Lonchura striata: one gene and its partner. The protein of the gene in region 1 purifies or fractionates together with the protein of each later gene. This does not show direct contact. Links are inferred from orthologs where the notes say so. Each region holds a gene or a part of one and is shown in the gene's direction. Other genes may lie near its edges.

What was found.
Region 2: the proteins of SLC37A3 (region 1) and ATRAID purify together in Homo sapiens (affinity purification with mass spectrometry; 3 studies listed by BioGRID and IntAct, counting the BioPlex papers as one, with this or other methods). This does not show direct contact. The link is inferred for Lonchura striata from reciprocal best matches to the Homo sapiens genes SLC37A3 and ATRAID.

What each region holds. Positions count from the first base shown.
Region 1 is NC_134607.1:15,379,849-15,387,563, reverse strand, and holds the start of SLC37A3 (sugar phosphate exchanger 3), read left to right. Parts: upstream 1-4,705; 5' UTR 4,706-4,898; intron 4,899-7,649; 5' UTR 7,650-7,715. Other genes in the region: RAB19 (ras-related protein Rab-19), read right to left, coding at 835-1,100, 2,983-3,166, 3,988-4,182. UniProt on the Homo sapiens protein: Unlike the other SLC37 members, lacks glucose-6-phosphate antiporter activity.
Region 2 is NC_134605.1:113,668,202-113,675,128, forward strand, and holds ATRAID (all-trans retinoic acid-induced differentiation factor), read left to right. Parts: upstream 1-3,910; 5' UTR 3,911-3,955; coding exon 3,956-4,036; intron 4,037-4,396; coding exon 4,397-4,527; intron 4,528-4,831; coding exon 4,832-4,903; intron 4,904-5,840; coding exon 5,841-5,912; intron 5,913-5,976; coding exon 5,977-6,098; intron 6,099-6,185; coding exon 6,186-6,286; intron 6,287-6,383; coding exon 6,384-6,488; 3' UTR 6,489-6,567; downstream 6,568-6,927. Other genes in the region: SLC5A6 (sodium-dependent multivitamin transporter), read right to left, coding at 1-124, 211-351, 526-680, 774-841, 919-970, 1,049-1,114, 1,301-1,630. UniProt on the Homo sapiens protein: Promotes osteoblast cell differentiation and terminal mineralization. Plays a role in inducing the cell cycle arrest via inhibiting CCND1 expression in all-trans-retinoic acid (ATRA) signal pathway.

The sequences.
Region 1 (7,715 bases):
CATCCTTAAAACTCCCTTGAAAACCTACAGGGATACTCTCAAGCTGCCACTGGCCCATCACACAAGCTACAAACGGCTTTTGGTTAAAATCAGCACATCAAAAGCAAGATGAGTTTAGCAGGGAGGAATGAAAATAAGGTTCTTTCACTGGAAGCTTTTCTGCTCCCAGCAAGTCCATGTAGCAGGATGGAGATCAGTACTGGAAGCAATCCTGTCTATTACAAAGCAAGTGAAAGGCAGCTTTTCTCACCCCAGGAAGAAGTGTATTCTGCCTGCTACACCACCCCAAAGATGTCTCCATGTTTATCTGATGAGGAACTCAGGGTAGATGTGAAATCCTCTACTCTTTCACAAATGTTATTAAGCTCCTTGGGATGGGTGGCTACCTGCCTGACCTCAGGAGAGCTCCTAAATGAAAGTTTAGGCAGGAGCAGGTTAGTGCTGTTCAAGCATATATCAGACTTTTTACAGCTGCTGGCAGAAAGTGCTTAAAACCAGCAACACAGCTTAGAAGGGTCAGTGCAGAACTCTGGTGCAAATTTATCTTCTGACACAGCCAGAAAGACATGTAAGGAAATAATTAAAGGCAATAACTTTTGCAGTTCTCTTTGGTTAGGACAAGGGTTGGCAGCTTCCTGAGTCCTCTCTTGTCAAAGCAACCTGTGCTACCAACAGCAACAATGATCACTGAAAATACTCACAAGCCAAACTGCAAGGCAGAAATATCAAGAGAGATGGCTTGAGGCCACATAAAACACTTTCATCAACTGAACAAAACTGAATCAAACAGCCTCAGAAGAATGGTAATTTCCAAGTTCTCCTTAAAGTCTCTCTTCAACAGGAACACTGGGTCTTCTCCACACTTGGACTGGCAATCACTGGCCTGGAGTCAAGACTGAAGCTGTTTGGAGGGCTCTCCCCATGAAGCTGTAAGGTATTTCGGGCTATCAGCTCCTTAGCCATTAATGTGAACACCTCTTCTATGTTTTGAGCTTCTTTTGCTGATGTTTCCAGCACAGCTAAGAGCCCGTGCTTCTCTGCCAGGGTGCAGGCATCTTCAAACAGCACTTGGCGCTTGTCCAGCGAATCCGATTTGTTCCCTTAAAAGAAAGCAAAGAGATACTTCAACCACTTAGTCTTTCAAAAATTTATTTTTAAATGCAATGCAGGAATTCAATTTTGTTAAACAATAGTTTTATGTTAGCGGTAAGAGTTACTGGATAGAACAAGCTGTGAGTACATCAGAGCCACAGATACAGACTGCCTTAAAACTGCAGCAAATCATATGACAGCAAAAGAGATGAAATCCAAGAAAAAACTAACAACCTGTGTTCATCTGTTTACTTAGTGTAGGTGAAAGATTATTTGGAAGCAAGTGTTGGTCCTGTTCCCTTGTGGTTTTAAATGTTAAGTAGCCTTTAAGTTGAGGGCTTGTGTCCCACTAAACCCACCATCATACTGTTGTGTTCCTGCTGACCTTCTTCAGGTAAGTTGAATTTTGAAAAAAAAAAAAAAACCTTTTAGGGTGATGTAACAAGAAAGACAAAAATTCAGGTCAGCTGTCTTAATGCCTGAAATATATGCTTGTTTCTGCATGTATAGATTAAACTTTTACTTGCAGCACTTTAGTGAAAATCTATAATTAAACACCTCAGTTAAAACACCTTTGTATATTTAGGCAGTTGCAGCACATGTGGATTTATCAGTTTGAGGGCTATTTGCCTCCTTAAAAGGAACACACCCACCTTTTCCTCCTTCAGTTCCAGATAGGAAAGTTAGGTTTCCTAACCTTAACCTCCTGCTAGAAAGGTGTATAACATGACTAAGCATATTTAAATGTACAACGGCTTCTCCCAATGTAAGTAAAGCAAACAGCACCAGATCCGGAAGAAAACATCTAGCTGGATCCTTAGTAAAACCTTCACTTTTTACTGATTTCAGAACTTCTCTCTCTAAAAAAACAACCACCACCATCCCCCACCACACACAGATAAGTCTCTTTCTTTAGATTCATGATAGAAGTTAGAAAAAACCAGACAAAGTGCAGTGATTTACACCTCCCCTGCCCCAGTTCCAAGCACTGCATTAGGAGCAGGTCAGGATTTATCGTTTGCTTCTTCCAGAGGAAGGCCAGGAGAATTCTCGGCAGCACAAGCACGGAGGGTGCTGGGAGCAGAGGCAGCAGCTCAGGGGCCCTGCCTGGGGCCCAGCCCTGCCCCGGCTGCTGAGCTGCTCGCAGCACACTGCAACAGGTTCAGCCACGCCAATGGAAATAAAGGCAAGAAAGGCTCTGGCGTTTCACTGCAACAGTGCCCTCGTTTGCAGCTTCTTCCTTGGGGGAAGGAAGAGCAATAATAACCATGAAACCCAAGAGAAAGGAACCGTGGCTTCCTACCAGCTCCATTCCCGGCAATTCCCAGCCACTGCTTTCCTCAAAGAGGCAGTTTCCTGAGCGCTATTGGAATGCAAGCAGGCTACTCCAGGCTCTGCAAAAGCCATCTCCCCATCTATTGTCTTACCTGCGCGGAATCCCATTACAGAGCAGTGCGCATGCATATCAAGAGAGCAGAGAGGAAAGATGAGAACCACAGGAGTCTGTGCATCCCCCTTCACCTTGAATTATTGAGCTGCTACATTCCTCTGCAGCAGCCTACAGAGCCAGGCTTACTGCAGTTCTAACTCAACAAGGTGGTCCCTGCCTCCAGCCTGGCAGCAAAGCTTGTTGTGTTATTCCAGCAGGAAAGGAATAATGTAAAAGGGTTTTGCTGTCTGCAATGGGTTTTGGTCCTGTCAGGACCAGGCTATGACTTTCCTCATTTTTTTAAGCTTAGGTTGAATTGACACACTTGGTGATCTATTTTAATTAGAACTGAATTTTTGCATAGTATATAGATGCTTCAAGTAGTAGTGGTAGGAAACGAGGGAGATTTTATGTCCGTATTAAAAATCTACATAATACAATATTTAAAACTAAAATCCTACCAATTAACATCATGACCAAGTTTGCAGCACCATACTTTTCAATTTCATGAATCCAGTGAGGAATGGATTCAAATGTGGACCTCCTAGTAAGGTCATAGGCAAGGATGGCCCCATGGGCACTCCTGTAATAAGACTGGGTTATTGTCCGGAAGCGCTCTTGACCGGCTGTGTCCCACACTTGGATCTGTAAGAGAAAGGATGGAAGTTGTAAAGACCAGCGAACACCACTTTCCTAGGTGCTTGCCCTCAGCATTTGAAGCCTCTTGTCCAGAAGGCAGCCAGACCTGTCCCAGCTCACTCTACCAGACCAGTGTGGCTTTGCCCTCCCTAGATCCAAAAAGCCATTTACAAGCCTGAAGAGTCAATCTACACAGACCAAAGAGAAAGCTCTAAGGGTGAACCCAGCTTTGCAAAGAGGCCAAGAAACCCATTTTCAACAACTGTAGTAAAAGATACAGAACGTTACAGCCTGTTAATAGCAAAATAAGAGTAAAGAACCCTAATACAGGACTGGGCAGAGCAAATCTATACATAAAAGCCAGGCAATCCTAACTTTCATCTGCACACAGAGGGAAGTTCTAGCTGATAATTTCTTCTGGTGTTTGTCTTGGAAGTCTTCCCTCAAATTAAGCCCACATCAAAGTGGAGCCTTTGCAAACTTTGGGGGTTTTCCCTTCTTGGTGTCCCAGCTCAAACTGCCACATCTCTGGAGGGAAGAGACATCCCCTCCAAACTATAGCCGGCTTCCAAAGAACTCCCTGCAGGCAAAGCACAAGCCCTCTCCGCAGGTGATGCAGAGAAGTCACGAGAAGAAGTATGTACCCAAATCAGGGTGCCTGCTTCCCCCAGGATATCCTCCTGAGAGAAAGCTCCACTGGGAAGCACCCGTGGTTAGAAGGGCAGCCAGCTGCCCTCGGCAGGGCCGAGCAGGAGGTGCTGTGCGTCCTGGCACCTGCACAGGAAGGTGCTGCTCGCCAGGACGCTCGGGCTCGCTCCCTCACCGACCTTCACTCTCTTGCCGTCGATGTCCATGGAGCGCACGGTGAAGTCGACGCCGATGGTGTTCTGCTGCTTCTCGCTGTACTGCCCCGTCTTGAAGCGGTGCACCACGCACGTCTTCCCCACGTTGGAGTCGCCGATCAGGATGATCTTGAAGAGGTAGTCGAAGGCATCGTCCGCGCCCGTGCTGGTGAAGGGCATCGCGGCTGCCGGGCGGGCCTGCGGCCGGGCTGGGGAGGAGGATGAGGAGGAGGAGCCGCAGGCGCGGGGAAGGAGCCGCGTCCCAGACGCTCACCTGCCGGGACAGGTGGCGCCGCGCTGCCCCGCCCTGCCGCAGGGCCGCCGGGAGCTGTAGTCCGCCCTCTCCCCTCCCCTCCCCGCGCAGGGCCCCGGCGGCGGCGGCCGGACTACAGCTCCCGCCGTTCCGCGGGGCCGCCCGGAAGGGCCGCTGCTGCCGCCCGGAAGGGCCGCTGCTGCCGCCGGCTTCCTCCGGCCGCGCCGGGCGCCGCGGGGCTGGGCACGGCCGCGGAGCAGCGGAGCCGGGCCGGGCCCTGCGCTGCGCTGCCCGACCTTGCGCTGCCCTGCCCGGCCCTGCGCTGCCCTGCGCTGCCCGACCTTGCTTTGCCCGGCCCTGCCCTGCGCTGCCCGCTCGGCTCCGCTCCCGCCCCGCCCCGCCGAGGACGTGGCCCAGCGCCCGGAGGGAGCCGCGTCCTCCTCCTCGCCCCCTGCTCGGGCTGGGCGGCCGTGCCCGCGGCGGGAGCGCGGCCCGGGCCTCCCCGGCAGCCCGGAGCGTTCCCGGAGCGTTCCCGGAGCGTTCGGGTGCTCGGGGCAGCCGCTCGTCGTTCTTCCCGGAAAGCATCCGGCGGCGCACCCGCGGTGGCGCACGGTCTGCTTGTGCTGGCTGCCGAGGGTCCTCGGTGGGTTTGCGTTGTGCCGCTGTTCTCTCGGTTCGGAAAAATGGCATAGGGGTCTCTGGGGGGTGGACTGCGCCCCAGTCGGTTTGGGGTTGTTGGGGGTTTGGGTTGGGGTTTGATGGGGTTTTCTTTGATTTGTTTAAATTGCTGTTATTTTGAAGAAATAATAGTTTCGTTTGTTTTGCACTTTGGAATGTTAAGGCTGCCGGCTTTGGAGGGCAGTAGGGTAGCATTAAGGGTGTTTGTTTTGAACTTAAGGTGTCTTATTTTGCCTTTAAGTGAAAGGATAAGGAGAACTTAACAAATAAGGGTGAAAGCCTATCAAAAGCTTACTCAGAATACCAGCTGGCTGTAGGTAAATGGTGGTCAATAATTAGATGAGGCAGTCTAACATACTAAAAGCACTCCTTTTCCTTTCATAAAGACCTGTGCTTCACTGTCTTCAATTCTGTGGGTCATCCTTCTGACGAGCTTTTGCTCTTCCTCCACCACAAAGTTACTGTGGTGTTCTCACAATAATTAGAAGACTAACTTTTTTTCTGTGTCAGAAAGTATTCTAGAAAGAAGACCTGAGATTGAGAAGCTCTGGGGAACAGATTATTTCAATAGTAAATGCTTTTAAAAAAACAAAAAAAAACCCAAAAAAAAAACCAGGTGACTTTAAGGTCAAACCAGGTCTTAGCTTTAAAAGGACTCGGTATCTTGGACAAATAAGATCTGTATTTGCATATGTTGACATGAAGCAAGTAGTAAATCTTGTGCTTTGGGCTGCGGACTGATTACCCAAGGAAGGAACTTTTCCCCACAGCATTGCACAACTGGCAGTGTTTTGCTTTCCTCAGGACAGCTCTGTTATCTGCCTGGTGGGAGGGGAGGGAGAGCCAAGGAATCTCTTGTTTGACCAGCAGACTGGCTCACAGGCCTGTGAGGATCATGGAGCTGGGAAACTGGAGTGCCTTGGCTTCCCTTCTCAGTGCAGCTTGCATGGGGGACAGCCCTGAGCTGTATGGTTACTGCTGCACTGTGTGCTTCTTGTGTGGGTGCTGAGTCTTCCTTCACTGGTGCTGAGAAATGGTCTGGGACCTCAGGTGAAGGTGGTATCAAGACTGCTTGCAAAGTTGCCTTTTCAGGGCTAGTCTTGCCTTTTCACAGCTCCAGTTGTAGGCACTTTTTTCTCCTCTGTGTGAACCCAAGCAGTCTAGACACATGTCCTTACAAAGAGGCGCTGTGTGCCAGCTGGAGCAGTGGCAGTGTGGCTCAAGAGCTCCTGGGCTGTGTAGAGACAGATGGTGTCAGGTCTTGTACAGCCTCACTGCATTTGCCCTGGATGAGAATGGAGGTGTTCAGGTGTGACGTACGATAAATGTGACTCCAGTGTCTCAAAGCTGTCATAGCTGGGTCTGTGTTACTCAGAGAATGTCCATGCCACACTGTTTTTGGAGGTCAGATGTGTTGTCAGTTTCCACAATTGTTTGCATATCCAGCAGTAGCTGGATATTGCTGTTGGTCAGGCATGTCTCATCACTGAGAGAACAGGGGAGACTGCTTGCAGTGAAAGGTGTCTTGATGAAAGCTTTAAAAGGAGGAATAAAAAGTCTGTGTGAAATAAAGAGTTTCCAGCAGCAGAAATTTGGGTGAGAGACTGGACAATGACTTACTTTCTTCAGGTGAGGTTATGAAACTGAACTTGAAAAGACTTCTGTCAGATGTGCAAATAATTACAAGCAGCACCTGTGGATACAAAAGGACACACAGGCATCATATTCTATCTTATTTCAGTACTGATCTTTTGGGGGAACAGAGGTAGTGCTTTATTTTACCTCTGCTCAGCATTCAGAATGTTTGCAGTGTTGGCATGTCCTCTGAAATGTGTGGTGAGAGATTCATCCCCACACTGCCCAGTGGGGCCGTTTCCCAAAATCTGTTAGCAAACATCATCCCTCGGCCATGCTAGCTCAGCTGGGGCATTGGAATGGTGTGGCATGGAGCAGCATGAGGAAACTGTATGTCTGCGATGGCCTTCCCTCAGTATTGATAGTTTCTGGTTGTCTCAAGGTTGAGGCAGGTGTCACCCATGCCCTACAGGTAGGGACAGGAAAGTGTGACTTGTGTGCTGTACTAATGAGTTGGGGACTGATGGAACTGTAATGTCAGGCTTGAGAATAAACAGGAAAGGATTCCAGCTGTTGGATTTCAGCACTGTCCTCACAGCTACTTCCCTTTTTCCATCTAAGCAAGTCCACTCTTGGGTATATTCCTTCAACAACATCTTAGTGAGGCAGTCAGATCTCAAACCCTTCTCCAGCCATAGCCAAATTCTGCTCTTGTGGCTTCATCACCTGTCTGTGTCCAGCCAGGTAGCAGCAGAAAGCTCTTATTTGTGGTCACGCTCTAGTTACCATGTGTGTAAATGGTGCACAATGGTCTTTAATGGGAGATTGCTGGAAATTGGTAGATCCAGGGGATACTCCTTTGGTCCTGGGCACTGAAGAGGCATCTGCTAGGAGAGAACCAAAAACAAAGTGCCGCGGGGGTACTGGGAGAATAGGAATAACAAGATACCTTAAGCCATAGAAGTTACTGAGGAATGTACAAGTGATGAATGCGTGGTGGTGTGAAACAAGTTGGAAAGGCATGGCATGGAGTTCTTCCATCTGGATTCGAGCTGTCTGGGGAACAGAGCTGTACTTCATACATGTGTTTTAATTCAAATTGGTTTTCTTTTCTTCTCCCTTCCCATCTTCTTCTGTTTAGGGGGGCAGAAGAATGACTTAATCACCATCCAGCCCTTGTGGCCAAATCAGGAGCAGGGGTAGGGCT
Region 2 (6,927 bases), on another chromosome or scaffold:
AGAGGAGGCAGGGCGCCGGCTGGGCGCCAGTGGGTGCTCCAGGTTGTAGACGAACATGACGAGGCCAATGAGGCAGCTGAGGCAGAGCACAATCTGCTGGCAGGGGAACACGGCGTAGCAGGAGCTGCGGGCGCCGTGGGGCCGTCAGACACGGGCGGTGGCTGGGGGCCCATCCCGGCTGCGGGGACCCCCAGTCCCAGCCCCACTCACAGCTTGGCCTCCCGCTCGCTGCGGGCGCAGAGGTAGCGCTGCACCTGCGCCTGGTTCACCCCGTACAGCGACAGCATCATGAAGATCCCGCCCACGGACAGCGACCAGAAGGTGTGACGTTCCAGGGGGCTGGGGTCCAGGCTGTGGGGAGGACCGGGGGGGCCATGGTGACGGGTCCTCACTGGCACCCCATGCCCCGTGGGAAAGAGGATAACAGGGATGGACCACACCACCGCTCCAGGGTCCCTCTCCCCCACCCCGGGCTGCCCCAGGTGTCCCCAGAGCAGGACAGAGGTGTCCCAGGAGGTGACTCACTCAATGCCGGCGATCTTGCCCTCCTGCTCAGCCACGCGCCAGACACGGGCCATGCCCCCCACCCGCCATGCGCCCACCACGATGACGGCAACCTGCCCCGCCAGCATCACCAGCGTCTGGAACACATCTGTCCAGATGACGGCCTTCAGGCCACCCTGATGGGGACACACGGTGCCCGTCACCACAGGATGACAGTGCTCACCCTGGCACGGCAGGGGCACAGGGCACCTGTGGCAGCAGGGACTCACCAGCGTGGTGTAGAGTGTGCAGACCAGCCCCATGGTCAGCACCGCGCTCCAGAGGTCAAAGCCTGTCACTGGAAGTGGTAGAGGACGTTAATGGGGTGAGGGGCGGCAGCCCCCGGGCACAGCCCCACACCTGCCCTCATCATACCTGCGTTGAGGGCCAGCGCGGGCGCGTAGAGCACCACCCCCATGTAGATGACCTGGGGGGAGGGAGAGCAGTGCTGAGCCACGCCCAACGCCCCAAACTCCGCAGCCCCCACAGCCCTGGCTCCACTCACCATTTGGAAGATGAAGGTGATGGTGCCGAAGACCCGCACTGTCTTGTTGAAGCGCAGCTCCAGGTACTGAGAGGAGAGAGGTCAGAGCACCCGACTGCAGGGTGCTCTGTGCTCCCCGCAGTCCCCTGCCCTGCCCGTGTCCCCTCTGCCTGCCCTGTGTCCCCTCTGCCCTCCCCGTGTCCCCCCTGCTCTCCCATGTCCCCTCTGCTCTCCCCGTGTCCCCTCTGTTCCCCCCACGTCCCCTCTGCTCACCTCATAGGTGCTGGTGATGTGCAGACGGTAGAAGACAGGGATGAAGATGTGCGCCGGGATGAGCAGCCCCAGGAAATAGGAGCAGCCGAGGAACCAGTACTCGGTGCCAAAGCGAAAGATCTCAGCTGGCACGCCCAGGATGGCCACAGCTGACTGGAAGGAGGCCAGCAGGGACAGGGCGACGGGCAGGCAGCCCATGTCACGGTTGGCTAGCAGGAACTCCTGCACCGTGCGCTGCCGGTCGCCGCTCAGGGCGTAGAACAGCCCGATGGCCGAGGACAGCACCAGCAGCAGCGCGAAGATGCTGTAGTCGATGGCCGTGAACTCCATGGTGAGCGCGTCCCTGCGCCGCCCTGCCGCTGCCAGCGCTGCCCAGCCGCCCCCGCCCCGCCGGCCTCATGGGCGCACCTGAGCCCGGCAGCGCGTCTGACCGGCACCGGCCAGGCCCTGGCAGCTGCGGGAGGGACGTGTCAGTGCTGCAGGGAACTTCGCTCACTCTGTCTCAACCTCAAGGACCCAGAGTGGGGAAAGCGGCCAGTCCCTCCTCCTCCTCCTCCTCCCTCTGGGCCGGGCTTGGCCCCCCCTGGGCCACCCCACCTGCCCCGCTGAAGGAAACTGGAGAGTCTTCAAAGAGCGCCAAGACAATGGCTGCAAAAACAGTCCCACCCTGGCCCCCCGCAGCACCGGCACCACCAGTCCCGGCAGAACTGGCCAAGCTCAACACAGCTGCCTCCGGTGCAGGACAACCCCAGTCCCACCTGAGCCAAACCCAACACAACCACCCCCGGAGCTGAACAGCCTTCAGCCCGCAGTGCTACTCCCACCTGAGCCAAACCCAACCTGGCCCAACCACCCCAGCATTGCACAGCCCCACCAAACCCGGCAGCACCGGTCCCACCAGCACCAAAGGCAACGCAGCCCAACCCCTCCAGCAGCCCACGGCCCTGCCAGAACTGCCCCCGGTGCACAGGAAGGGACAAAGGGGAGCTGGCAGCCTCAGGGTTCTGGGCACCAGCCAGGTGGAGCAGACACCTGAGCATCCACCGTCTCTGGCACCCTCACCCCACTGAGGGGATTGCCCAGAGCGCCCCGTGCTCTGCCCCTGCTCTGGCTCCTGTGGAACAGGAGGGGACAGACTGCTGCCCCTGCCTGCCCGCACACCCAGAGGACTGTGACTGCGGGCACCTGGGAGCAGCAGGTGCCACAGGGCTGTGGATACCCCTCTTTCAGGCCTGGGAGGGGGTGCAGGCTGCAGGGGACCCTCTGTTCCAGCAGGGCAGCGTTAGGGACACAGGGAGGACAAGTCTGGAGTGGGGGTGGCAGCCAGGGAGTGGCACAGTGCCCACCATGATCCCATCATGATCCCTGGAGGAATGCTTGCCTGGGAATGCTTGGTGGAATTAGGCTGAGCCCCTCCTGGCACCCCTGGCACAGCCTGCCTGGGCCTGCCTGCCACAGGGCCGGGGGCAGCTGAGCTGGCACGCGGTTCTGCAGCAGCGGCAGCGCCAGCAGCGTCTGGGTGGGGAATGGGGTGAGAGGGCAGTGTCTCGGCCGCTACCAGCCCTGGCCTGTCCCTGACCAGGACAGGCTCCACGTGCAGCAGCTCATGGCCAGGGTCCAAGGTCACTCCCCACATTCCCCCACGCAGACTAAACATGGGAGGTCACACCGCGTCCCCAGCGGGCACACCACAGCCCCAGCCTCCCAGACGGCCCTGGCCCAAGGCTCCCATGCCCCACAGACCCCTCGGCGCCCCCGAGGCTCTGCTGCCTCCAGCGCTGCTGTCCCCGCACCCCCATCACCTGCCGGTCACAAGCCCTGCTGGCCCGGTCACCCACGGAGGGCCTGCTGCCCCCTCGCCCAGACGGTCCCGGAATGTGCCCCACAGGACGCGGCGGTGCCAGCCCGAGGCTCGGCTCTCGCAGCCCTGGGTGTCCCGCGTCCCCGCGGGTGAGCCCGCTGCCCGTCCTGCCGCGCCCAGCCAGCCTCCCGCGGTGCCCCGCTCCTCACGCTCCATCTCGCCCTTCCTTGTCACCCGGTGACCGCGGGGACGCCGCTCCGGCCGCCGCTGCCCAGCGCTGTGCCCGGAGCCCTCATCCCGGGGCTCTCAGCGGCTCTACTCGCCATCCCCGGCGTCCGCGGTGTCCCTAACACAGGGCTCTGCTCCCCGTCCCCGACGTCCGCATCCCGGGGTTCTGCTCCCCGTCCCCACTGTCGCCAGAGCCCCCATCCCGGGAGCCGGCCCCCCGGCCCCCGCTGCCCGCAGAGCGCCCGGTGCCGGTGGCGGGCGGCGGCGGTGACCTTGCCCCGGCGGCCCCGGTGCAACACTCACCGGCGGCGGCAGCACTGGCCCCATGTGCCGCCGCAGCCGGGGCGCGCCGGGATGACGCCGCGGGCAGGCGGGGCCGCTCCCGCCGCCGCTTCCGCACGGCCGCCGCCGACGGCGTCAGCGCGGGCCCCGCGTGGGGCTCCCGGCCCGATCCCCGGCCCGATCCCCGCCCCATCCCGGCCCTCGGGCGGTCACCGCGCCCCGGTGCCCCCGCTGCGGGGGCCCCTCCGCGGTTTGGGTCCAGAGGGCGCCCGGGCCGGGCCGGGGTGGGGAGAACGGGCACGGAGCTGCCGCCGCCGCTCGGGGCTCCCCGCCGTGGCGCGGGGATGCTCGGGGCCGGCGGGGCCGTGGGCGCGTTCGCGCTGCTGCTGCCGCTGCTGCTGCCCCGGGCCGCCCGCGGGGCCGCGGTGAGCAACGGGGACCGGGGTCGGGGTCACGGAAACGAAGGGAGGGCAGGAAACTGGGGGGCTCCGGTGGGTACGGGATGCCACGGAGGTCAGGGAGTGCCCGGAACGGGGTTGGGGGGTCAGGGGGCGGTGAGTCCCCGGTCGGGGATGTCGTGAGGTCGGGGGTGCCCGGCTTGGAGGTGCCCGGGCGTCAGGGAAGCCGTGGGTTTCCCCGAGGCCGAGGAGGTTGTCCTTTAACGGGGAGCGGCGGTACCCGGGGCTCAGGTCAGCCCGGGGGTCGGGGACAGCCGGGGGTCGCGGGGGGCGGGAGATGGGGGTGCCCCTGTGCCGGCGCTGCCCATGGCCCTCCGACCTCCCCAGGTGTGCGGGCTCTGCCCGGGGCCGCCGCGGAACGGCTCCATCGTGGCCCGGTTCTGTCAGTCCCGGCACGACACCGAGAGCGACGGGCGCTGCTGCCGGGAGAGGGGCCCGACCCCAGGGCAGCTTCTGGGGTACGGGGGGCCCGGGGGAGAACGGGGATGCACAGGCTGGGGGTGAATCTGGGGTGCTGGGGGTCGGGGGCCATGTGATAGGGGTGCTCGGGGGATGGAGGGTGCCAGGATGGGTTTTTGGGTTCACAGGGGTGTCAGAGGAATGGCGGGGCTGGGGAATGCCTGGATGGAGCATCCTGGGTGGTGTTGGGGGGGAACCAGGTACAGACCAGGGCTGAGATGGGTGCTGGGGGTCACAAGAGCATCAGGGGAAAGTGTGGGGGACACACATGCTACTGTGTCCCCAACCACTGCTCCTTCCCAGGCTGGACCTGAGCAACTGCTCCCTGCACAGTGTTCCCCCGGGACTGGCCGAGGCCACCACTGCCATGGTCCTGTGAGTTCCCCTGGGCTCCCTCTGGCCCCTGCAAGGAGCTGGGGTGGGCTGGGAGAGTGGGTTGGGGCAGGTTTGGTGGGACATTCCCATGGGCCCAGGCCAGCACAGCCATACCCTGCTGGTCCCAGGGGCAGCGGCCACTCCCTGCCCTCGTGGCTGTCAGTCCACAGGGCCTGACCAAACAGAAACCACCCCTGTTTTCAAACAGGGAGCCCTGGGACCTGTCTGTGCCAGCAGCCTCACCCCTGTACCCAGCAGGAACATGGGACAAATCCTTCTGGAGCTCTGTCATGGTGCACATTGTCACAGGACAGCCCTCCAGTGGGGGCCCGTGCTGGCACGTGAGAGATGAGCCACATGGTCACATCTTGGCTTTTGGCACAGTCCTCATCCCCAGGCTGGAGAGACAGGAGCCAGGGAGGTGCCACGTCCAGGGCACTGGCAGGGCTCAGAGCTCAGTGTCCAAATGTAGCCCAGTGAGCCATGGTGGCCCTCAGGGCACCGTGACACCTCAGCTTGTCAGTGTTTTTGTTAATGACCAAGCGGTCCCTCACTGTGACACCTCAGCTCATCAGCGTTTCTGTTAATGACCAAGCGGTCCCTCACCGTGGCACCTCAGCTCATCAGCGTTTCTGTTAATGACCAAGCGGTCCCTCACCGTGACACCTCAGCTCATCAGTGTTTCTGTTAATGACCAAGCGGTCCCTCACCGTGACACCTCAGCTCATCAGTGTTTTTGTTAATGACCAAGCGGTCCCTCAGCAGCTCCGCAGAGACCTTTGAGCCCCAGCTGTAGGGCTGCACTGCCAGGGCCTCGGGTGGGCAGGGGGGGTTGTGGGTGCTTGCAAACCGCCTGAGCTCAGTGAGGCGCTGGGGGTACCCCGGTGCTCGCCAGGCCAGGGGTGCCGGATGGGACTAAAGTTCCGTGTGCTCGCAGGGACCTGACTGAGAACCCGCTGACAGCTCTCCCCAGTGGTTCCTTCCTGGGCTTCATCCGCCTGCAGAGCCTGTGAGTGCTGGGGGGAGTCAGGGGCTGGGGTCACTGCGGTGCTGGTGCTGAGCTCTGCCCCCAGCGCGGTGCCGCTGACGCTGCAGTGCCCAGGCGGGAGTGATGCCTGGCAGAACGTGACGGTGGACAGGAGCAGCCGGCTGTGCCAGGGACAGAGGAACCCCTGCAACAGCTCTGTGGAACTCGGTATGGTGGGGGACTGTGGCCCTGGCAGGGGTGCATGGGGCTGGCAGGGGCTGGCCTGGCCCCTGACCCCCTTCTCTGCTCTGCCAGCCTGGCTATGTCCTGAAAACTCAGTGTGTGCCCCTGACGGCCCCGGCCTCGTCCAGTGCCTCTGTGAGAGTCCCTTCCATGGCTACAAGTGCCTGCGTGAGGTGAGTGCCGGCAGGACTGAGCCTGTCTCTGGCTGGGCCCTGGCCGGAGTAGCAGGGACTGCAGGGAGCGGTGATGCTCACTCCTGGTCCCGGGCAGGGCCCATTCCCGATGCTTCTCTTTGGAGGAATCCTGGGCACTGTCACCGTGTCCCTGTCCCTGCTGCTGTGGGGCACCCAGCGAAGGAAGGCCAAGAGCCCCTGAGCAGGGCAGGGGGCTGTGCTTGGGCTGGAAGCTCTGCGGCCAGGAAGGCTCTCAGGATCAATAAAGCTGCAGGTCCTCAGTGTGTGTCTGTGTGGTTCCTTCCCAGGGAAAGGCTGGGTGTGTGGTGGAACCCACAGGAGGGGGGCATACAAATTCCCACTGTAACAGATACATGTCATAACATCGGTTTTTCGCAAATATTAAAATGGATTTATATATGTAGTGTTAAAGTAACTTTGCTAAAAAGATGTAGTTTTAACTTACGTTCTTAGTTAAGCTTAGACATGGTAGGGAAATAGCTGATATCAGTGTGCTTGTGTTAAAATGCCTGCTTGGATGGGATAACATCCAGTGAACACAGGATATGAGAACACCCATTACAGATCTGCCAACGATCAGCACTCACTGTCTGAAGGCAGTGTGGACCAAACTGGAAGTG